Callithrix jacchus: one gene and its partner. The main gene of each other region encodes a partner of the protein of the gene in region 2 in a complex. Links are inferred from orthologs where the notes say so. Each region holds a gene or a part of one and is shown on either strand. Other genes may lie near its edges.

Region 1 (3,811 bases), on a different chromosome or scaffold from region 2:
AGCAGTAAGCAAGGGTAATTTTGGGCTCTTTTCATTTGTTTCCTATCTCTTAGCAATTGTATTCCTTTGCTGCTCAATGTTGTGCTTAAATACCAATATTTTATACATTTTGTCCAGTTTTCTAGTAGTTTCAGACAGGTTCTTGTTACTTCATTTTTGCCAAAGTAGAATTCCACAAACGAAATTTTAAATTTCATGTAATTCTAATCAATTTACATTTAAAGTCACATGTGCCATGTGCCTGCTATTGTATTGGACAGCACCAGAATTGAGGTTTATTTCCAAAACCTAGCAGTCTATGGGATTATAAAATGATTTAAAGAGAGAACAAGTTAATTGTGGTACTGTTTTTTATAAAACTGTACTGAGCTAAGGAATAATGTGTATTATGTGCTATGCTCAGATTGGACATTCCAGAGTATTATTAATCCAGTAAAAACCCACATAGTGTTGACCACCTCCTAGACGCAAAGCAATTTATTAGGTGCTACTGGAGAAAAAAGAAAAGACACAGTCCCTGCTCTTTGAGCATGCAGTTTATTAGGACTTGCTAAACAGATAAACTACATTAAAAGATAAAGTGACCATGAAGGCAGGAATAAAGTGTTGCAATACATAAAGAACAGAGCAACTAACAGTAATAACATGGGGGCAGTGCTGGTAAGTCATTAGCAAACATAGGGCATCCAAGTGAGATCATTAAGAATGAAGAGAAATTAGGCTGGGCTCGGTGGCTCACTCCTGTAATTCCAGCACTTTGGGAGGTGGATAACAAGGTCAGGAGTTCGAGACCAGCCTGACCAACATAGTGAAACCCCATCTCTACTAAAAATACATAATTAGCCAGGCATAGTGGGCATGCCTGTAATCCCAGCTATTAAGGAGGCTGAGGCAGGAGAATCCTTTAAACCTGAGAGGCAGAGATTGCAGTGAGCCAACATCATACCATTGCACTCTAGCCTGGGCAACAAGAGCGAAAATCCGTCTCCAAAAAAAAAGAATGAAGAGAAATTAATTATTAAACAAACATTCGTTTGGTATCTACTTTATACCAGGCCGTGTGCTAGAAACCGGATAGAAAAATGGGTACGATACAGTATTTATTCTCAAAGGGCTCAGATCTAATGGGGAAGAGTACAATGTGGGGTAACTGTAGTAACAGTGTCCAGAGGACCTGACCTAGAGTAGTGGTAGTAATAATAGAATAAATATCCTAGAGTTATTTAGCCTACTGTTTCCTCTTATTGTTTGTCTTCTGTCCACATTCCCTTCCTTTCCCTAGTCTGCTATAGTAATTCCCTATCCACCCAGAAATGATTGCCCACAAGTAGATATAAACCTCAGAGGAATCAAATCAGATGACAGCCTATGCCAACCAAATTCTTTCCTGAGATAGAATGGGAACAAAGAAATATACAAATTAAGTTAGTCATTGTTAACCCTAAACTAGGAGGTAAAGAGAGAGCTGGTGGTCATTTTTTTTTTCATTTGCATGCCATCACAGAGAAAGCCAGTCTGCATTTATAAAAACAATTTCCATGAGAACAGAGACTGTTTTGTTTACTGCAGCATCTCCAGTGCCTAAAATATACACTGCCTGGCCTAACTTTTCTCCATATTTCAATCCTTTTGCCCAGTGGCCATAGTACCAAAAGTGGAGACTTGACTAGAGCAGGAGATTATGAAAGGGAAGAGGGTGGCTACACTAGGTGGCACCCAAATAGTAATTCCCTAGTTGAGGCCACCAACTCTGACATTAAATAATTTTGCACAGTTGCAAATCTTTTGTTTTGTATAAGTCAAAGAAATGAGAGTAAAAGTAGAATAAAGTTATTTTTTGTTGAAAACTTACGATAAGAGCCATCTGGGCTAATTTCCTCACTTATAACCAGACAGGTAATTTGAGAATATGGTAAGGGATTATTTCGATTATAAGGACTAACAATCATTCCAATGAACTTTGCACCTCCTCTGGAGAAGTAACTCTACAATTACAAGAAAAATATAATTAGTTTCAACTATATAAATTTAAAAGCCAATGTTTATCCATACTAACATTTTAAACATCTAATGGGGAAAAGCAGGAACAGAAAGGTACATTAAAAAGTTCACATCTGGCCTGGTGTGATGGCTCACACCTGTTACCCCAGCACTTTGGGAGACTAAGGCGGGCAGATCGCTTGAGGTCAAGTTGAGACCAGCCTGGCCAACATGGTGAAACCCCGTTTGTACTAAAAACACAAAAATTAGCTGGGGCGTGGTAACACATGCCTGTAACCCCAGCTACTTGGGAGGCTGAGGAAGCAGAATCCTTTAAACCTGGGAGGCCGAGGTTGCAGTGAGCTGAGATTGCACCATTGTACTACAGCCTGGGTGACAGAGTCAGACTCTGTCTCTTTAAAAAAAAAAAAAAGTTCACATCCAAACTGCAACTAAATCAAATGCCTTAGACATTCATTTCACACTGTAAATTTTTCAGGCAAAAATGTGTTCAACCAAATCTGAAATCACCCTTTAAAAAAACTGGCCTACACAATCTGTATTTGCCATGAATATATTTACTAATTATATTCCCCATGCTTTATCTATAATTCTTATCAATATGGTAATAATTTACAAATACCCTACAGCAAACCCAGTCACATATCAAATATAAAATCCCAGAAAATGAAACTTTTTCTTTAGCTATAAAAAATATGTTTCTTATTATTTCAATTATATTTAGTTCCAGTTCTAGTTGCTCCCATTAATTTTTAAAGGTTCTAGGAGTATTTATCACTGTAACATTCATGGCTTGGCTGTACTTAATAACTGACTTTCTAAATGTTTACATAAACATTTATCAATCTCGCAGAAAAAAAATGCATGTTCTTTTAGAACTCCTAGTATAAAGAATATTAGAAATGCAAAACAAAAAATGTTTAAAATTTATCTGTGTAAAGCGAAGCACTGAGGGGGTGTGCAATCACTTACAGAATATATCCATATAATACCTGGTATTTAGCTTGTGTGTCAATATCTCGTAAGGAAGGATTGGGATCAAAAGCAGGATGAGAATGATACCATCCAATAACACTGTAGCCTCTAACAGCCAAGGTTTCTGAGGCCTGTGTTTGTGATACAGGATCCATCTCACACTGTAGTCCTGTACTCAGACTGTTACATGGTTCTGCTGCACAGACCTATAAAAAACAATTGATCTTCAAATGATTATATGAAAATCCTGTTAATTCTATTACTCTAATGTTATAATTCTTTCAGAGATACAGAAACTTTTCAAGGTCAAGACTTTTATTTGACAATATCACAGTTAGCCTTTAACTTGCAAATGACTTATACTCCAAAAGTCTGATTGTATGCTAGAAACTTAGCATGCATTTTTCTACTCATACAAGGTCATAATAATGGCTAGTTTTCCATGTCAGACCATATAATTCCTGTACAAAGGTATTCTTTCAATGACACCTGTTACTTATGACAATAATTTCAACAGAATCATGCATACAAACTTTCAACTACAAGTGTTGGTATATATTTCTGGCCTCTTAGAAGTTGTACCTTTTTACTAATAAAGGCAATGAGGAGCCAAGGCCTGGCAATGTTCTCTCTTGGTGGTAAAAAGAAACAGGTGCTCAGAATATGGAATGTTAAGTCACTTCTGAGAATATATAACTTGCAAATGTAGCAAGTTATGCAATATTTGCATATTCTCATATATATCACAGGTAAAGTCTGTATTTTAATTATATTCATGGAATTCTATAAAAATATTTGGTATGGTAGTAGGACCAAATAATAACTAAAACATATT
Region 2 (4,497 bases):
TGGCTGGCGAGGGATCACTGAATTTTACTCAGGATTTCTGAATTTTACCCAGTGTTTCAGCTATTCCTTGTTCATAGCAGAGTTAAAGAAATAACTGAGAGTATCCATTCCAACTAAGTATCATGCCAACTGTAGCCCACACAGTCCCTGGAGTCTCCCACTACCTGACCTGGCTTGTTCCCTAGTGGTCCTGAGCAAATTCTGACTCTGATGGCGCCATTCCCACCCATCCCTCATACCCCAAGCTATAGCCCCAACCTATAGGGTTGCTCTGCTGCTGCTGCTCCTCCTCCTCCTCCTCCAGTGGCTGCCATCACCTCGCTAAACGGTACCACACAAACATATCAAGGTCGTCCAAGCTGGAAATCTGGATGTCAGTTTTGATTCCTCCCTTTCTCTTGATCCTTTCCCACCCTCACATCCAACCATGGTACCCACCAAGGTGTTCTTAACCACCTGTAAACTGCATGGCCTCCCTGTGACACCCTGAGTATTGAGAAGGATGCATCTCATGTCTCATTCATCACTGCATTCTCAGAGCCTAGCACAAGTCCTGGCTCACAACAGGTGCCAAATACCTGTCTGCTGAAAAGAAACCCATCTGCTATGCTGTTTCCTCTACCCAGAAGCCCCATCCTAGCACCTTCTTGGATCGATTCTCACATAGAGGCAAGCCTAGGCTGTTTGGAAGGCTGGGAACAGATAACTCACCGTCTTTCATACTCCATGTCCTGATAGGACCTTCGGGGGCTGCTGGGGCCCCTCCTCAGCCGCTGGCTCCGTTTCACTTCCCAGCCACCCCCACTGCTGCTACCATGATCTGCCAGCCTGGGTGATTCTTCCTGCAGGGACTCTGGGAAGAGTGAAGGGAAGAAAGGGGTCAAAGCAGTTGGGGCAGAGAGGGTCTCCTTGACAAAGATTGTTGTCAAGGCTCTCCGCCTTGTCTTCCAGATCCCAGCACTCCTGTGCATCATAATGTGAAGGTACCACATACTTGGCCTGCTCCTTCCTTTCCTCACAAACACGAGGCTAGAGCCCACTGCCCTAGAAAACAGCAAGGCCTTCAGCAGACAGAGGGCATCTTGGAGAAAGACCTGGCGATGCCACACACATTGTGATCAGGGCTTTGCCACCTGAGACAGGTAGACAAATTCAAGCCTGGGGATGCATCCCAGGGTGGGGGTAGGGGACTCTCAGTGCTGAAAGTCTTGCTGACATTCAGCACATCAGGCAAGATCTGATAACAATGGGGATCCCACGCACGCACCAGGCTCCTTCCCTGGGCCCCAAGGTACCATCCCATCCTCCCAAGAAGCTGCTGGCTGCCCCCTTTAAGGAAGCAAAAGGCCATGAAAGGCTCTTGGGGGTATGTGTGAAGGGGGTAACTTGGCAACGAGACAGCTGCCACCTCCCTGGGCTCCTGGCCAACACAGCCTTGGCCCTCACACAGCAAATGGCTCAGCCCTGAGCCCTGTCTCTTATGTGCAGCAAGGTCCCAAAGTGATTGTCTCCCCAGGGCTCAAGCCTATTTTCCACAGGCAAAAGGGGCCCTTTTGGAGGCTGTTCTGAACCACTGTTCTCTACTGGGATGGAGCAGCAAACACTTCATCCAACCCTCAGGGCTATGGTGAGAACTTAGGGAGTCCTGAGAACCGTGTGACCCAGCCAGAGGTCAGGATGAATCCCAGATCTTCGGGCCCCACCCTATGAATAGGGATCAGGTAAAGCTAGGCAATAATAGCACCTGCCTAACTCTAGGTTGCTGCCACACCTTTGCTCTATGCGTGCACATACACACACTCCAGTTTTCTCTTCCTCCTCAAGCCACAGGGAACCCGAGTTACCTGCTCCCAGGTGAGCAAGAGTTAGAATCACACCAGAGGCACTGGCGGTTGAGAGCCAGATCCAAAAACCCTCAAGAGACTCTGGCAAAGGGGCCAGAGTCACACAGTAACATCTACCACAGCCAAGGGCCAGTCACAGACACGAGCCTCAAATAACTACGGGCCCACATCACAGAAGGAACCCACAGTAAGGGCCACAGTTACACACACACTGGGTCCCCTTTCCACAGATAAGCATCAGTGTCACAGATAGGAACTCCCCAAAAGAAGCGGCAACGAGTCACACACACATTCCCTGAATCCCCCTCTCCACCCAATAAGAGGGTTTGGGCCAGTCACAAGACAGTCGTCCCCCCAGCCCCGCCCCACAGATAAGGACCAGAGTCACAGACACACACCCCCCACCAAGGGTAAAGACCAGAGTCACATCCTCCCTCCAATCCTCCAGGAAAAGAGACCAGAACCACAGAACATTTCCCCATGGACCAATACACACCAGATTTAACACAGAGCAGCATCCCTCGCCCATGCACAAACTCAAAGTCGCAGACAACCGCTTACCCACGAAAAAACTTCGGTGTAGCGGACACAGTGATCCACGGCAGCCCACTCCCATCCGTCCCTCCCTTCCCCCAACCCGCGTGCACCCAGCCAGTGTCCCAGTCGCGCACGCGCCTTTGCTCACACCAAAAAAAAAAAAAAAAAAAAAACACCACCCCCTCCCGGGTTAAGACATTGCACGCACCCCTCCGTTCCACGCATCCCCCCGGCCCGAAGTCCGCCCTCGCGCCTCCTCTACGTCCCCGCCCCGGGCCCCTTACCTCCGCCCCCACGACCAGCGTCGACGCTCACCTTCTCGGCCCGGGCTGTCAAGGGAGGGCTCCCAGACATCACCTCCGCCCGCCGCCACCTCCTCCAACTCTCCCAGCTCAGCCGGAGCCGGAGCGCGCAACAACCAAGTCCGAGGCTGCGGGCAGATCGCGGGGAGGGGAGAAGCGCCAAGCGCGCTGCCCTCCCAGGGAAACTCACTGCCGCCTACTGCCAGCCGGCCACAGTCATCAGCTCAAAATGGCGACGACAAGAAGGGAGTCGGCGCTCCGACCACCATCCACCTACTAAGGAAGCGCGCTCTGGCCAGCCCCGGCGATTGGCCGCTGCCCGCCAGGGGCCAGCCCTAGCCTCCTCTGATTGGTAAGCGCTTGCCACCTCCTCACACCCTGTGCGAACGCTCCCCTAGTCGAGAAAAGGAGTAGCTATTGGCCAATCTGGCAGGGCCCGCTTTTTAGAAGCCTGACTTCCTTTGAAGATGAAAGACTAGCGGAAGCTCCACCTCTTTCCCCAAAGGGCGAGGGAACTCTCTGGGCGATTGGTTGAGAAATGTACCAACCCGAATGTCACCGATTTCTTCCTATCCAGGAAATTAGCAGCCCCATCGATAAGAAATCAATAAGAAATTTCTCAGCCTGGCCGAAAGAGTGAGAGAATGGTTGGCACCACAAAGCCATGACAACTGGAGGCAAAGAGGATTGCTCTACGCCCTGCCTCATTAGAAAACAAAATCAGATCTGGGACCTATTAAGCGGGCGGGGACGGAGCGATAATTGTCGCGCTCGCACCCACTGCAGTTGCGCACAGTCGCATTTCCGTCTCCGCCCCTGAGCCCCTGCAGCACCGTCTGTCATGGCGGCTGGGCTGTTAGGTTTGACCGCTCGCCGTCTTTGGGCGGCAGCGGCGACGCGAGGGCTCCCGGCCGCCCGCGTCCGCTGGGAATCCACCTTCTCCAGGACTGTGGCCGCCCCACCCGTTGCGGCGGGAAAGCGGCCCCCGGAACCGACCGTGGAATGGCAAGAGGACCCAGAAACCGAGGACGAAAACTTTTATGAGACGGTGAGAGGGAGGGGAAAACGGAACGCCGAAGGGGTCAATCCGGGAGCGACAGTTGGGGTGCTGTAGAGGACGTTCTTAGTCAGTAGAGGACTGCGTGGTCGGCGAAAGAAGACGTGGGAATTTTGCCTACTTTGTGGTCCTCCTTTGTCTCTGGGTATCGAACGAAGGTTCCAGGGCCAGAGACAGGATTGGTTTTATTTTGCAGACAGAAACCACACCTCATGTGGACAGCAGTCAAAACACATTAGAAGCAATATAATACAACAACAATTATACTAAACACTGATATGGCAGTTGCTCGTTGCCGTCTGCGTTCCTTTTTTTTTTTCCTTAGAGACGAGATCTCGCGATGTTGCTCAGGCTTGTCTTGAACTCCTGGGCTCAAGCGATCCTCCCGCCTTGGCCTCCCAAGGTGCTGGGGTTACAGGTGTGAGCCACTGCTCCGGCCCCTGTCTGTGTTCTAAACACTCTACGTGGATTAACTCATCTTATCCTCAAAACAACCCCGTTTCAAGGTAGGCACTATTATTATACTCATCCTACAGACGAGGAAACTGAAACACAGCGATGTTAAGTGGATTACCCAAGCTCACATAACTGAATACATGGTGGAAGTGGAACTGTTATTTGAATTTAGGACTACCAGATCTGTTGTGCTGTATTAATAGCAGATGTTTTGAAATCAGGCAGCACTGACGGTTACCCACCCATGTGATCTTGGGAAAGTAGCATAACCCGTTGGTGCCTCACATTCTTTGTCTGTAAG

What was found.
Region 1: RBM10 (region 2) and MYSM1 share a complex: the UniProt entries of both Homo sapiens proteins name them as parts of the large chromatin remodeling complex. The link is inferred for Callithrix jacchus from reciprocal best matches to the Homo sapiens genes RBM10 and MYSM1.

The regions. Positions count from the first base shown.
Region 1 is NC_133508.1:95,753,332-95,757,142, forward strand, and holds part of MYSM1 (deubiquitinase MYSM1), read right to left. Parts: intron 3,183-3,811; coding exon 2,994-3,182; intron 1,986-2,993; coding exon 1,853-1,985; intron 1-1,852. UniProt on the Homo sapiens protein: Metalloprotease with deubiquitinase activity that plays important regulator roles in hematopoietic stem cell function, blood cell production and immune response.
Region 2 is NC_133524.1:48,107,187-48,111,683, reverse strand, and holds the start of RBM10 (RNA-binding protein 10), read right to left. Parts: upstream 2,962-4,497; 5' UTR 2,736-2,961; coding exon 2,666-2,735; intron 854-2,665; coding exon 712-853; intron 1-711. Other genes in the region: NDUFB11 (NADH dehydrogenase [ubiquinone] 1 beta subcomplex subunit 11, mitochondrial), read left to right, coding at 3,525-3,731. UniProt on the Homo sapiens protein: Binds to ssRNA containing the consensus sequence 5'-AGGUAA-3'. May be involved in post-transcriptional processing, most probably in mRNA splicing. Binds to RNA homopolymers, with a preference for poly(G) and poly(U) and little for poly(A).